Linked DNA regions of Struthio camelus. The protein of the gene in region 1 binds, or shares a complex with, the protein of each later gene. Links are inferred from orthologs where the notes say so. Each region holds a gene or a part of one and is shown on either strand. Other genes may lie near its edges.

The links. Proteins that work in one complex are often made in the same cells at the same time.
Region 2: GTF2A1 (region 1) and POLR2H share a complex: the UniProt entries of both Homo sapiens proteins name them as parts of the TBP-based Pol II pre-initiation complex. The link is inferred for Struthio camelus from reciprocal best matches to the Homo sapiens genes GTF2A1 and POLR2H.

Annotation. Positions count from the first base shown.
Region 1 is NC_090946.1:60,988,121-60,995,786, reverse strand, and holds the start of GTF2A1 (transcription initiation factor IIA subunit 1), read left to right. Parts: upstream 1-4,634; 5' UTR 4,635-4,885; coding exon 4,886-4,915; intron 4,916-5,833; exon of another isoform or gene 5,834-7,666. UniProt on the Homo sapiens protein: TFIIA is a component of the transcription machinery of RNA polymerase II and plays an important role in transcriptional activation. TFIIA in a complex with TBP mediates transcriptional activity.
Region 2 is NC_090950.1:22,750,487-22,757,961, forward strand, and holds POLR2H (DNA-directed RNA polymerases I, II, and III subunit RPABC3), read right to left. Parts: upstream 3,162-7,475; 5' UTR 3,066-3,161; coding exon 2,993-3,065; intron 2,296-2,992; coding exon 2,212-2,295; intron 1,128-2,211; coding exon 1,034-1,127; intron 829-1,033; coding exon 745-828; intron 626-744; coding exon 508-625; 3' UTR 85-507; downstream 1-84. UniProt on the Homo sapiens protein: DNA-dependent RNA polymerase catalyzes the transcription of DNA into RNA using the four ribonucleoside triphosphates as substrates.

The sequences.
Region 1 (7,666 bases):
GTATCCAGAAAAGCTTTTTTATGTCTCCATTATTAATTTCTGTCTGGAATCAATGTTTTGAATTCGGGCTTTGGCCACTTTTTTTCTGCTTTCCAGAGACACTTCATTAACAACTTCAAGTTTTATTTAAGGTCACATTCTTTTTTGGTACTGTGAGCGTAAGCAAAAAGAGTGAATTAGATGTATAAGCTCTAAATTTATGTGTGAGCATAACTTCAAGCATCTTTTTCTCCAGTTAAGTTTTCTAGACTGACTTGGTTCGGTCTATGCTCCTCTTCTATCTTTTTAATATGTGCTGCTGCAGTTGGAAGTTAGATGTGTAACTCCCCATTCTTTTGGGAAACTGTTAGGAAAGAAGGGGGTAGAAAGCCTCTCTCCCTTCCTGATATTATCATTATGCCACGAAACATGCCTTTAAAAAGTGTTTGCTGGCTTAGCTTGTATTTAGTAGGACAGTGTAATATACTGGCTGAAAACTGTATGCTGCTGTCATGTCCATAGTGGAAGACTTTTCCTGCCCAACTACAGTAGCAAAGACCAGTAGCGTGGACAAAACCTAAGGATGATGAAACTGGAAGATGTGCTGGTGGTAACGCGTGTTCTGTATAATCTGTGTTACAGCTTTGCACTTCTATAATATAGTTAAAGCCAATTTCTGTTTTCCTTGTCTAAATAAGCCCTGGGGAAAATCTGTTTACATAATTACACTTACCAAGTTTATCAGATGTTTCCAGAACTAAGAAATTATAAAGCACTGTGTCAGCAACATCTGATACAAGGTACTCTGTGATTCATTGTATGATCAGAAACGTTTTCACCGAAAAATCAGGGCAATCTGATAGTGATCCTCTAGTTGTATGAGATTAGGCTTATTCATCATCTGTTCTTGGGAGAGAGAACATCAGCTTAACTTTTTTCTTTGTATTTTCTTCAGATGAGCCAAAAAGCCTCTCTATTTAAAAATAAAAAAAAAATAGAGATAAATAAAAAGCTGAAGGTCATAAATATAATCTATCTTGACTTAATACTAAAGAAAGCATCACGATCTTGTGGTTCTTGTTTTCAGTTGAACTAGCCCGCAGCTTTCATGGAAATTACAGATACTTATCACCTTTGAATTTCAAGTCTGCTCCTGCCAGTAGCAAGTATTTATGCAAATATTTTTTATCCCTCTTACATCAGTTCTCCTTTTGCAAAATATCTTCTTGAAAGATATGCTATGCATTAGTAGCAGTCCATTAGTACTTGCAAAGAACCTTAGGATGGAAGTGTTATCAACCCAAAAATCATAATGAAAATGGCTCCCCCCTTCCTACATCTGAATTAAAACAAAAAAAGACAAAAAAACCCCAAACCCTTCTTGTAAAAGATGTAGTTTTGTGACGCACCACAAAGGAGAGGTGCTAAGAACATTTCCATAAACATTTACATTAACTTAACAAACTAATGTTGCAGTAGTAAGTCACTTTCTTGCTCCACTGAGAGCAAGGGATGCTTATGGCACTTACAGAACAGAATCATTCAGGGCACTGAAGTAGGCTGTGCACCTCTGAGTGCATGGCTTTGGCTATAAAAGATGATTTGTGTGTCTTTGTCCTAAACATTTAGATTAGAAATGATTTAGATTTAGAAAGATTGTTGATCATACCTAGGATTGAGCTTGGGACTCTTCTTGTAATGTATGTCCTCACTCAGCATGCCAAGGATTGTTTTTTGATCTAAGGCAGTATTGTGCTTTTTCCTTATGCTATTCCATCTTTGGCACTCTTTTTGCGATGAAGGAAGGAGAGGACCCAAATGTTGTCATCTTCATACTGGGTATAAAGTAATATAATGTGCATCACTATGGAGTTCACGTCTAGATGGTACAGCCGCTATAACATGAACGTCCAGTCAACACTGAAACTTGCACTATTAGAGCAGCAAAATCAGGCTGACTTGGCAATGACAGAAACCTTTGGTAGAAAAAAGACAGGATAGCACATAAGCTTAGTATGATCCACTCCTGACTGGCAAACAAAAGAGAATGCTAATGGATAAACATAGCTAATGCTAGTGGTTATGCTGTCTGTCAGTTTATGTATACTAGTGCTATCCAGGTTATCAGTGTTCCTACTGTACCATAGGTACACACTTATGTTACTCTAGTCTAACAGAATTGCTAAATGAAGTAGAACCCACCAACATGAGTACAACAGGACAGCTGTGGATGCTGGCGAAGCAGGAAGGCGAACAGACTTCAGAAAGCGGCTAACAACTCACTTGCTCTCCCTAAGTAGTAAATCTTACTGCCACCGGATTAGCCAGAGCGCTACCCGACTCAGTAGGGCATTTCTTACGAGGCCTTGATTTTCCTCATAGCAACGTTCTTTTAGAAGCTCTTGGAAGTTAGCAGTGCCACAGATTCCCTGGATATCATTGGAAACTGTGGCTATGCACACAGGATAACCTAGGAGCATAGTCTACTGAACTGTGTGCCTGTTCCACAAAGCAGTATGACACCTCACTGAACCATTACTGCTACCATGTCCACCTGTTAATTTTTGAATGGCTCGGTGGGCCGCCCTCAAAACCAGGGTAGGCTTAGGTCTATCTAAGGAAAGGAACTGTAGCTTTCCAGTGCCACTTGTATCCCTCCCCTTTTCAAGGCAATATGATTCATTCCTGGTGGCACACTAGTTACTGCCTGTCACTTCAGCAGAGCAGGAGACAGAGCGAGTGAGAGAACTAACCATGTGTGAACTCAGCCTGTCCTAGCTGTGAGAAAATAAATGTACCTTTGCTAAAACCTCTTCTTCAAGTTTTGAGTGACTATTTGTGTAGTTATTTCAGCTGTGGAAAATGCAAGGCTTTGACTGTGAGCATTAGACAATTTACAAGTCCAATTTACAAACTCTCTGAGAGAGTTTGATGTCTCTGATAAGTAGGCAGTAAAGGAATACTAGCATTTCAGTCCCTGTAGTTCATGCATGGTTTAGCTAATGTTAGATCATGAATTATGGCTGCTGAGGAGGTAGCACCCCTTCAGTCCTGTCACTTCTGCCATGGGAGTGGAAATGCCCAGCAAAAAGGTGGAGCAGACAGCTGAGGAAGGTAAAACTTTGTAAACTCTGCTAACAGTCTCACGTTCAGGCTATTTTTCTGCCAGGGCTCCAGCAGATCACGCAATGAAGAGTAGGTCCATCAGATGGCCCGCTGTAAATCTGTCATGTCCCTATACAAAGTCTGCGTTTCAGATGGGAGAGGAAGCATTCATCACTATAGAACTGAAGAATTTGGAAGAATGGGATGGGACAGGAAGGTCTTTGTATCGGCCAGCACGTTCCCTCCTACTGAAGGATACCAGACGGTTGTTCTCAGACTTGCTACTTAATGGGTAGGGCGTTAGGTTGAAGGTCACAAGTAGTCGCACAGTCTTCATGCTGAGGAGGTGTAACATGCTATGCTCTATGTGTGAGGAGTCAGAATTCAGCATTACTTTATGTCTGAGTGAGACTTACACAGGTGACTTATTGGTGATAATCTACAGGATGAGTTGGGTTCAAAACTTGCACTAAAAAGGACTGAGTGAAGATGGCAGTGGTGAGTGAACCTAATTTCCATTTAACAGCATTCAAGGTTGAAAGGATTTTCCTGCATTATGTGTCTTACAGGTTGCCATGAAAAAGGGGGATAAGGAAAGGGAGAAGAGGCAATAAAGAGGGGAAACGAGAAGCCACCTGGCATGGCTCTGACAACTCCTCGTGCAGTTGGGAGACCCTGCGGCCACTGACTCCATCAGGATCAGCTAAAGGAAGCAGTTCTGCCCAACGCAACATTGTCTGAGGGCCACAGTGAGTCCCTGATGGAGGACCCTGCTGACTTTTTGATTTTAACCTTCTCCCTGCCCGGGGAAGCTGTAGCCTAGGTTTCCTATCACCAGCCTGGAGTGCGTTGCGGAGCTTGGAAGCACTTTGGGGCCTGTGGCTGACAGAAACAGGCCTTAGGCCCGTGGCTGCTTTGTGTAACTGCTGGTGGCTGAAGGCATGAGCCCCCATCGGGCGAGGCTGAGTTTAAGACGTGTGTCCTTACGGGGCAGGGAGAGCGAGGCTGGGGATTTCTGTTGTTGTTTGGTTATCAGGGAGCAGAGGGCTCCTACAAACGTAGTCGGAGTGGTTTAAGCTCTGCCGTGCCTGGCTGGCAAGGGCTGCCGGCTCACGACCAGCAGTTAAGTGCCAGCTCGGTTGAAGTCAGGCCTCCTAGTGTAACGGCTGCCTGAGGGCACCCGGCAGCCCCCCGGGCCGGGCCCACCCCGCCCCGCCGCAGCCCACTGCTCCCGGACGCGCTGAGGCGAGGCGGGGCGGCGCGGCGGCGGCGGCAGAAGCAGCCACGGCCAGGCGAGCGCCTGGCGCGGTGACATCACGCGGCGAGAGGCGGCGCCTCGCTCCCACCGCCTCTAGCCGGTGAGGCGGCAACGCGGCGACTTCCGCCTCGGTACGCCTGGCGGTGGCGAGAAGGCGGTGCGTGACCTTCCGCACCGACTTCCGCCTCAGTAAGTGTCATGGCGGCGGGGCGGGCACCTCACGTGACGCGCTCGCAAGGGCGCGCTCTCGCGCAGGCTCTCGCGGTGCCTCGCCGCCCCCCCCCCCCGCCCGCGTCCCCCTCTCGCCCTGGCCGCTCGCGCAGCTGCTCGGCTCTCGCTATATAAAGGGGCGAAGCGGGCAGAGCGGGCGGCTGGCGGCGGCGGCTGCAGCCCCAGGGCCGGCGAGCGAGGCCGGGCCAGGCCGCGGGGCTGCCCGTGAGCCGGGGCGGGACGCGCGCGATTTTGGGGGGACGCAGCCGGGCAGGTTTATTGTTTTAGGGGCGACTCCCCCCGCGGTTGGGGGCGTCCCGGGGGGCTCGGGACATGGCGAGCTCGGCTAACACAAACCCCGTGGTAAGGACCGGGTCGGGGGGCGAGGGGGGCCCGGGGGCAGCGCAGGCAGCGGGGGCCGGCAGGGCTCGCTGCCCCCTCCCCCGCGCTGCTTCCCGCCCGCCGCCGCCTCGGACAGTCCCGTCTCTCTTTCTCTCTCTGTCTCTCTCCCTTCCCCCCCCACCCCCGGCGGGAAGGGGCAGCCCGGCGGGGGCGGCGGGGGGCGCGGCGGGGAGCCCACTTGTGGCGCCCGGCGCCGGCCGCCTCGGCGGCGGGGAGGAGAGAGCGGAGCGGCGGGCGGCGGCGGCGGCGCCGAGGGGCGCGGGGAGGCGGCGGCGGCGGCCGGGCGCGGGCGGCCAAGGCGGGCCGCGGAGCCCCGCGGGGAGGCCGGGGCCGCGCCGCCGCCGGTGGGGACGGGAGGGGAGGGGAGGGGCGGCGGGGGGCGCGGGAGGGAGCCGCCGGGACGGGGGCGAGAGCGGAGCGAGGCGCGGGGCCGCCGCCTGCCGCCGCTGCCGTCCCGGCGAGAGGGGAAGCGGCACTCGGGCCAGGTTTCGGTTTTGTGGTGTCTGTGAGGTGAAACCCGCCCGGGCTCTGCTGGAGCCATTTTATGTTGCTTTATAACGAGGCGACGATGGTTGAAAAGCACTTATCCCAGCCCTGCAGGATCGGCTAAACGAGGCGAAAGCCCTTAACTTTTTTCCAGCGAGCGAGGAAGTATTTATTTTAAGAAAGAAAACTCTTACCCCCCCTCCCCGGTCTTCACCTTCTTGTGCTTTCTGCACCTTCTTGGGTGGCTTGCTGTTGTACTGGTATTCACATAGGTTTGCAATAAGCAGTCACATAAACCTGCGTAGCCACCGAGCCCCACCGATCGCTTCTTGCCTTTTCCCCTTTCTACGCCGCAACCGGCCCCGAGCCCGCCCCCGCACCGCCGAGACAAACCGGGAATCCAGGCGGCCCGGCGCGGGCTTGGCCCCTTGTTTGTGGCGCTGGGATCCATCATGGCCGCCCCTGCCTTTCTGTCTCCCTGCGCCTTGTGTTCCTCCTCCCTGCGGCTGCCCTGTTTATATAGAGCTATTGCCGCTCTCTAATATAGACTCTGCCTGGATGGGAAGGTGCTTTCCAGCCCCACGTCACCGCCTCTCCATTTAAACACCACATCAGCCTTTAAATAGGGAGAGAGCCGCGGAGAGCGGGCTGGGAGGTGCATGCATCAGAGGCAGAGGCTGAGAGACAGTCTTTTTGTCACTCGGATCCTGTGCCGGGTTTAGCTGGGTTTGCTGTTGCGCCCGGCTGTTGCTCTTCAGTCCCAGTCGCTGGAGCGAGCGGGCTGTAAAGCAGTTGTGCTTTCTGTCGGCTCGAGTAGAGGGGATGCTCTCCTGACTGGTGATCGCTGGTGTAAATGGACTTTCCCCTGTATTTATGCATTGCACAAAGGAAGGGATTTTTCACCCTTTCCCATGTTGTGAAAGTGTTTGTTTTTTGTTTGCTTGTGGGTGGGATTTTTTTTTTTTCTTCTTAGAGAGTGCAGAGTCCTGTGTGCCCATAAGCTCTTCTAAATAGCCTTTCTGCCGGGTAGGGAAAGAGCAATTTAAATGATTCAGATCCAGTGTGTCAAAAAGAGATGTGGTACTTGTCCTAGGCACTTTGCCAAGGTCCGAGCGCGGGCTGACAGCAGCTCTGGAGCTAAAAGCATCATTAATTAATATTAAAGTTTTGTCTGTGGGTAATGGGCCACAGGTACTACTTAAATACTTGGGAGTGTTTCTGGTGACAAAAGCTAATGAGCATGCAAATATTTTTATTACAGACTGGGAAGAGCAAAGATTTTAGAATTCTACTATTTTTTCATTTAATTCCAATTATTAATTATTTAATTATTTTATATGCTGCTTAAAATAGCAGTAGTAGCAAATGTAAAACATACTATTTTTTTCTTTCAAATCTGAAATTTCACAGACCTGCTTATGATGTAGAGTCATGTAGTCGCCAGGTAGCATCTGTTGCTTGGATATTTTAGCAGATTTTGCATCAGAGAGTCTTAGAAAATTAGTCAGTGATTACATGCAGGGCAGTTGCTCAGTAAAAGCATATCATGTGTGTGACCTAAATCTGTTAGTTATCTTTCTCTTCATAAACCTCTGGCTTTGTTTTTTTAGTTGAAAAGGTTCCATTTCTGTTATTTCTGTACAGTAAATTAGAGGTTTTACTTCTCTCTCTCTCTCCCTCCCTCCCTCCCCCCCCCTTTTTTTTAATCAAGTTAGTAATGAATAGAAGAAAAAAGATATTACTGTGAATAATCTCCAAAGTACTTGTAAATATCTTTGTTGCAGCAGTTTACTCAGGCTTGCTTTCTCTGGGCTGTATCTCTATACTGGAATAACAAAACCTTTGTGAAAGTCTCTCGGGAAATGTCTGTGTTTGAACATTCTGTTCAAATTAACAAAGGCAAAACTTAAAATGAGCCTGATGAAGCTAGCTATGCTTTAGGCTGATTCTCAGCTAAGCAGAACCTTGCAAAGATCTGCCTATTGCGATCAGTAGTGCACGGTTAACTTTGTAAAATTCAAATTTCATTCAGTAGTAACAACGACTGCACTTGCCCACTTTGATAACCCTATGGTTAAGAGCAGTTTGAAACACTGCAGCTGCATGATAACTTTAGCAGGCTAGACTTTTCCAACAGCATCATGTCAACATCTGATCAAATCTCAATTGCTAGAAGTGTGTTCTCCCTAATACAGGGCATATAAAATGTTAATGTTTATATGCAGT
Region 2 (7,475 bases), on another chromosome or scaffold:
CGAGGTGATGCAGGCCCGTCTTGCCCCCTACAAAGGCGTAAGTGCTCCCAGCCAGCCTCACCTCTCAGGCAACAGAGTCAGATCTAGAAAACACATCCCAAACACTTTAATCAAGAACAACCCAGGCCTGTCTCAGGATGGCTCCTCAGATAAGGTTCCCAGCCCCAATGCAGACAGGTGGCTGTCTCAGTCCAGCTGCCCCTGACTAGGGCTGGGGCTGAGCCTGATTTTGAAGTACAGAAAGACAGGAGGTCAGAAGAGACTACCACCTGACAGGACTGCAGAGCACCCGGCATGGCCCCTGCTTGGCTGTCAGGCACCTCTCTCCGCGTAGAAGGGGGTTGCAAATCCTGGCAAGAGTCAGAAAAGACAAGGGGGGACCATCCCCCTCCTCCACCAGCACCAGAGAGGCCAGGGAGCATGGATGCAGGGTCACAGGCATCCTGTTTACTTGCCAGCAAAATGTCTCTGGGACAGTCCATGGAGGCAAGATAGATGTATCCTCCTCTAGAAGGCCAGCTTCTTCATCAGCAGGTAAACCCTGGAGTCCACTTCAAACCCATGCAGATTGTTTGCATCTCCCTGCAGCCGCATGAGCAGCCCCCCATAGGACACGTAGGCAGAGCTGGGGCAGGAGGAGAGGATTAGTGAGACGGGGGAAACCCACAGGAGATCCTGTCTGACATCCCTGTGCCTCCCCTACTACCCTGGGGCACTGCTCCCCCTCTGGGGACAGACACTCACAGGCGTGTGGCTGCCTCTGTGGACGTTTCATCCCCTTCGATCCTGTACACCTTGCCGTACATCACGTACTCAAACTGGTCTGCCCTGCAATGGGACAACGGGAGCTCAGAGAAGAATCAAAGCTGCATACTTCCCTTTTCCTGGCATCCCCCATCCAAGCACCCTTTGGGAGAAGGTACCACACAGCCTCTCGGCATTTAAGCTCTTTCCTCGCCACCACCTGGCTGCTCTGTGGATCCCAGCAGGCACAGCTTGTGCCACCCACCCACGCCAACTGGATCCCTGGTACCTGGAAGGTCTATCGTCTGTGGGGTTATACTCCCCGTCATCCAGGGTGCCGTCTTCGTACAAGGTGCTGGCAATGACCAGGCGGAATTTGTCTCCTGGGATAAGAGGGCACAGGAGCCGTGAGAACGTGGGTGGGCGCAGCCAGATCAGCATCAGGCTCATGGGGCAAAGCTGGCAGTGCCACAAGCTACTCATTGCAAGTACCACATGATGCAGGCCACATACAGGTGAGCAAGCCAGTCCCAGCTCCATACAGCAGGCACGAGCTGGAGTATGGGAGCTGGGCACAGAGCACTTCTCATGAGATCCTCCATTGTTCACCCAAGGGCACCGCTCTCGACACCAGGAACACACATCTCAACGTGCAACAGCACAAGGGCCTGCCCTCCACGAGGCCCAGAGTGAGAGATGCCAAGCAGCACCCTCCCAGGCAGTGAGAAGAGCTCAGCATGATCCCTCCCCCATTTCCCCCCTCTCTCCATCTGAGACTGGTTCCAGGTTCCTTGTGACCTTTCAGCCTGGCTTTTGGGACATCTATAGCAGATCTGAGTAGGTAAAGGCAAAGGACTGCTCCAGAGGGTTTGGCACAAGCCCCACCCCTGTGTTCAGGCCTCCAAGAGGATTGTGGGGAGCGAGGAAAGATCATACCAGGCCCTTTGTCTCCTCCAGTTCCCCAGTCGTGCATCACCACCACGGAGGAGACCAGAGCCACAAGGGTACCACAGATGACATTTTCACTGGACGTAACAACAGATCTCCATACAGTGTCCCAGAGGGTGAGGCTGAGCTCTGGACAAGTACCTGAGACCCTATAGCACTAACTCCAGCCTTCCTCACTATGGCAAGACTCTGTCTTCAACCACAGGAACTCATCTCAGAAGTTCTCTTTAAGGCTTAGTCCCTAGCAACCGATGCAATTTCACCGCAGAGCGTATATGGGGAACAGGGCACAACAGAACCCAAATGAATATCATAGTGAGGTGAGACAGAATCCAGGTCACGCCAGCAGAGCAAAAGTGCCCAGCACCACTCACCTTCTCTGATCTGGGGACAGCAGAGGGGTCTAGGAAAGCCTGAGATCAACCTTGCTCCTCTGTGCACCAGTGCGTGCCTTCCCCCACCCCGGGCCGACACCAGCTCACTCCCGGCGCATTCTGTGCTAGCAGCCCGAGAGCTCACCGAGGTCCACAGGGTAGATCTGGATGTTCACGTCCAGGATGAGGTCCATCTTGAAGGACTCGCTCTCACAGTGCAGGCGGGACACTGTGGAGAGCAGCAGAGTCAGGAGCAAGGACACAAAAGACCGCACAGGCTGGGTGGGTGAAGGGTCCCAAGACTGCGCCATCCTCCCACCAACCAAGCATGAGCTATTTGTGGGAGCACAGGGCTTGGGGCTGGTCCAAGAGCCTGGGGCAGACACAGGTGTGTGTAGGAAGAGGAATGGGAGATGAGGCTGTGTGCATGTAGATGGAGCACACCAGGAGGTAGAGCAGCCCACGGTGTCGGGGAGGAAGGGGGCAGTCCCAGGCTGGGGGTGAGGGCCCAGGGCACACCGGGGTGAAGGGCGGACAACGCGCCTTGGGTGGGAAGGGCAGAAAAGGAGATGGGGCAGTCGCAAGCTAGGTGTTTGTGTGAGATGGGGGCACACTGAGGAGAGCAGCCTCGGGCTGCGGAGGGGGAAGGGGAAGCAGATGTAGCACACTGAGGGAGCAGTCCTGGGCTGGAGGAGGGAAACGGGACAGGTGGGCGGGGGGGGCCGAGGGGACAACGGGGCCCGAAGGGGGAGCAGGGGGACCCGCAGGGGGAGCAGTCCGAGGCTGGGGAGGGGGAGACGAGGCACAGCGGGGGGGCGGCGGCAGGCGCACGGCCAGGGAGGCGGCGGCGGCGGCCATGCCGGGCGCCTTCGAGAAGGTTCCCCGGAGGGCCGGCGGCGGCGGCCCGGGCGCGGAGCCCCGCTCACCGCGGTCGAACTTCTTGCCCTCGGGGTCGATGTCCTTCACGTCGAAGATGTCCTCAAAGAGGATCCCGGCCATGGCGCCGCCGCCTCCGCCGCGCGCGGCAGCAGGCCGGAAGTAGCCTCGGGAAGGGGGCGGGGCGGCGCTGGCGCCTGCGCACTGGCGGGCCCGGCCGGCCGCGGGTGTCCACGCGGTCCTAGCGCCCCTCCCGCGGTCTCTGGGGGCCCCCCTCGGGCTCTTCAGGGACCCCCCCCCCACACACACACCCCGCCGCTCCGCGCTCCCCGGCCGTGTGCAGCGCCGAGCACCCCGCGGGCCCCGCAGCCCCTCAACGGCCCGGCGTTACGCTGGGCACCTCCGCCGACTGGGCCCCCGGCTGGGGCAGGCGGAAAGGGGGCACTGCAGTTGGGAGTGCGTTGCAATTAGGGGGTATTGCAATTAGGGGGGTACCTTGCAACTCGGGGGTGCATTGCAATTTGGGGTACATTACAACTGGGAGTATTGCAGTTGAGGGTGCATTGCGGTTGGGAGTGCGTTGCAATTGCGGTGGCATTACAACTGGGGTGCACTGCAGTTAGGGGGTGCCTTGCAATTGGGGGTGCATGGCAAAGGAGGACAGTGCAAAGAGAGGGGTGCATTGCAGCGAGGTGGGGGCACTGTGACGAGGGGAGCGCACTGCAGTGGTTGGGGGTGCATTGCAGCAGGGAGTGGATTGCAATGGGGGGTGCTTTGCCATGCGGGGTACCTTGCAATGGGGGTTGCATTACAAGGGGGGGGCGCATTGCAATGGGGAGGTGCGTTGCAGTGGGTGGGGGGGTGCATTGCCGGGGGGGGGTGCTGGCTGCCGGCCTCGGGGGGGCCCCGGGACAAGCTCCCTGGCGCGTTGCTGCCCACCCCGAGACTGGCGCAGGAGCCGGGCAGGGTGGGGGGCAGGCACGGGAGCCGACCCCCTTTTGGGGGGGCCTAGACCCCTTTGGGGGGGGGGGGGCTGGCGCAGCCAGCCGGATGCCGGCAGGGGGAGCTGCGAGGCCGCGGATGGCAGCGGCCGGGGCCGCGCACGCCGCCGCCGCCCCGAGCGAGCGGCGCCGGGGCCGGGGGGCCCCGCAGCGGGCTCGCCGCCCCGATCCCCCTCCCCACCGCGGCGGCGTCGCGAGGAGGCGTTTGCCCTGGGCCCCGCACGTGCCGCCGGGCCAGCGGCGGCCACTGGTGTCATGAGTTTGGCGGACTCGGCTGGCCACGGCGAGGGGCCGGGCACGGAGCGGGCGGGAGGCTCGGGACGCTGCCGAGGCTGCCCCCCCCGCCACGGCAAGCGGTGCCACCGTGGTGCCAGGCAGGCAGGCAGGACAGGGTGGCCTCTTGCCCCCTGCAGGCGCTGCCGCCACACCAGGGGCCACCATCTAACCAGGGTGTGTGACCCGCCGTGCTCCGGCCCCCCGTGGGCCACCAGGCATGGGTGCCGTGGGGCTGGCGGTGGCACCGGGGCCGCGGTCCCAGCTGGCGCGGCGGCGCTAGACGTCGGGTGGGGGCCGGGGGTGAGGACAGGGCCAACGGCTGTCACCCGGTGGCCTGCAGATGAACCGGAACGGCAGGAGGAGGAGGAGAAGGAGGAGAGCGGGAGTCTGACAGCGCCGCGCGGGATTTCGCGCCTCGGGGCGCCGCGGGGTGCCCAAGCGCCTGGCGTCTGCTCAGGGAGCCGCGAACGCTGGGTCGAAAGTTCAGCCGCGCTGGCGCACACGCGGGGTCGGCCCTGTCCCCCCCCCCCCCCCCGGCCCCCAAATGCCACGTGCCGCCTGGCTTTAACCTATTCTTCCCCGGCTCGGCCGAGACTCGTGCCAGCCCATGCCACCCCGTGGCCCCATGCTGGGGCTTTGCCGAAGTTTGGGGAGCGGGTGCCAGGCTGGAGGTGGCACCGAGCGGTGCTGTGCGGCACAGCGGTGCCCCTCCGCGGGTCGGGAGATGGGGGCTTGGTGTCTGGGCCAGGCGTCCCCCTGGTGTGGGGACGCTGGAAGGGAAGGCGGCATGGTGCCGTGTGTGGAGCACATGTCACCAGCCGGCCTGGGCACTGTGGATCTCCAGCGCACGGCTAAGGCGGCTGGAGAGAGGTCTCTCCAGAGCATGGCCCGTGGTGTCCGGAGACGAGACATCTCCAGTGCTTGGCCATGGTGTCTGGAGGTGAGACGTCTCCAGAGCGTGGCCCATAGTGTCTGGAGCCGAGATGTCTCCAGCACATGGCATGTGGTGTTTGGAGCCAAGGCATCTCTGGAGCATGGCACTCGGTGTTTGGAGCCAAGGCATCTCCAGGGCTTGACCATGGTGCTTGGAGCCGAGACATCTCCAGCACACGGCGCACGGTGCTTGGAGCCGAGACGTTTCTGGCACGTGACCCACGGTGTCTGGAGCTGAGTTGGTACATAGCCCATGTTGCCTGGAGCGGGGATGTCTCCAGGGCACGGCCCCGGGTGCTATCCGGAGCTGAGGTGTCTCCGCATGGGTGCTGTGATGTCTGGAGCGGAGACACCTCTGGCACCCCGGCCGGGCTGGCTGGGTCTGGCCTCTCTGGCGCGTGCCCCGTGCCCGGAGCCGGCCGTCTGCGGCGCAGCGGGGGGCCGGACCCGGCGACGGCACTGCGGGCACGCAGGTGGGGACGGCGCGGCAGCGGCGTACGCTGGCGCGCGGGGGCCGGCGGCCGATCGGGGGGGCAGCCGGGCGGTTCACGGCGGGGTCGCCCCGCGGCGGTGCTGCCGAGCGCGGGAACAGCCGCTCGGCTTAACGCACTGCGACGTCACCTCCAATCTCCGTTCCTTCAAATCATCGTCTCAGCGGCCGGGTCTCCTCCCCCCGCCACCCCCCTGCCGCCCCGCGCTCCCAGTCTGCCCCGCCGTGCCCCCCAGCATGGCAAGGGTGCCGTCCGGGGGGCTGGCAGCGACGTTGCTGTGCCCCAGCCCGCCCAGGCAGGCTGGCACGGTACTCACGGCTGTGCCAGGGCTGTGTTTTTTGGGGAGGGGGCCTGGTGTGGCGCTGGGATGCTCCCCGTGCTCGGGGGTGCCTGCTAGGCGAGGACAGGGGCATGGCTGTGTCCCCCCCCTTTGGGTGCTCTTGGGTTGGGCCCACTGCGAGGTGACAGGAGGGGACAGGGTTCACCCCGGGTTTATTGCACCCAGCTGCCCCTGTCCGCCCATCGCTGAGACCTGGCACATTCGGTGCAGGTCGGCAGGGCTCAGGACAGGCGGCGTGGGCTGTGTTTGCCAGCTGGCAAAGCAGGCGCCCGAGGGACGCTGCTGCCCACGACCTCCGCCAGCTGGAGGCAGGCAGGATGCCGGGGAGCGGAGGCAGAGGGACGGCAGCCCGGACGCCTGGGCCCCGCTGCCAGCTCCGGCTGCTTCCCTGCCCTAGCGGGACGAGGGTACATCCGAGGGGAGCTGCGGCGCGGGGCGAAGGTGGGCCTGGCCCGGCTCGTGCGCTGGTGGGGCAGCGGGGCCAGCCAGGCGCCAAGCCGCCCGCGGAGGCCAGCTGGCGAGGGGAGGATGGCGCCAGCTTTCCGGGTGCCCCCCAGATGCCGCGGTGCCGGGGCGGCAGCGGGGACCTGGCGCAGCCCCTCGCCCCCCCGGGGACCGCAGCCGCCTCCTGCCAAGCCCTCCCTGGCTTGGCCGGTGCCCAGAGCTGTAAATCAAACCTGCCCTTGCCCCCCTGCTTGAGGCCGCCGGTGGGGTGGGGGGGGGACCGGGGGGGGTGTTGGCACAGGCACCCCGGCATCCGGCTCGGGGCTCCTGGCCCTCCGCGGGTGCCGGCCGCCTCGCTGACCCCGTGCCAGCGCGGTGGGCACCCGCGCGCCGTGCCGCAGGTGGCCGTCGGGGAGCCGCGGGGGGCCGCGTGGGCTGCGGGGCCACGGGCAGCGCCGCTCTGGGGGGGCTCCGGCCGCGCTGGGGGGGCTCCGGCGCCAGGCCCGGGCTTGGTGCCGGCAGATGTCAGTGTAAGGCCGAGGTGGTGGGAAACACGGCGCAGGCTGGTGTTTCCGTGCTCTGCCCGGGGCGCCCCGCTGACCCGGCTCGGCCCCGGCGCCCCGGCCCCGGCGCCCCTCCGGGCCCAGGCCGCCCTCGCTGCCCCCGGCACACGGTGCCGCTGCGCCGGCGGGGTTTGCCAGGGGGGCAGGAGCGCGGCGCGGGAGCACCCGCTTGCCAGCCCGGTGCCTGGTGTCTCCCCCTTGTCTGGGATTAAGCAAACCCCGCTGCGAGGGCGGCTGGGGTGGGAGTGTGGCGGGGAGGGGGGGAAGCACCCCGCCGGTGCCCCCAAAGCAGGGCACAGATGGGCACCGGCTCTCCCCCCACCTTGGGGCACCCCCAAACACCCCGGCACCGGAGGGGACCCATCGGCGGGGGGTAACCCCCCTCCGGCTGCCGGTGGCCCGGCCCGTCGCGGGCCGGCGTGGTGGCTGGCAGCCCGGTGCCCGCGGTGCCAGGCTCCCTCGGGAGCCCGGGGGGCCCGGAGCCC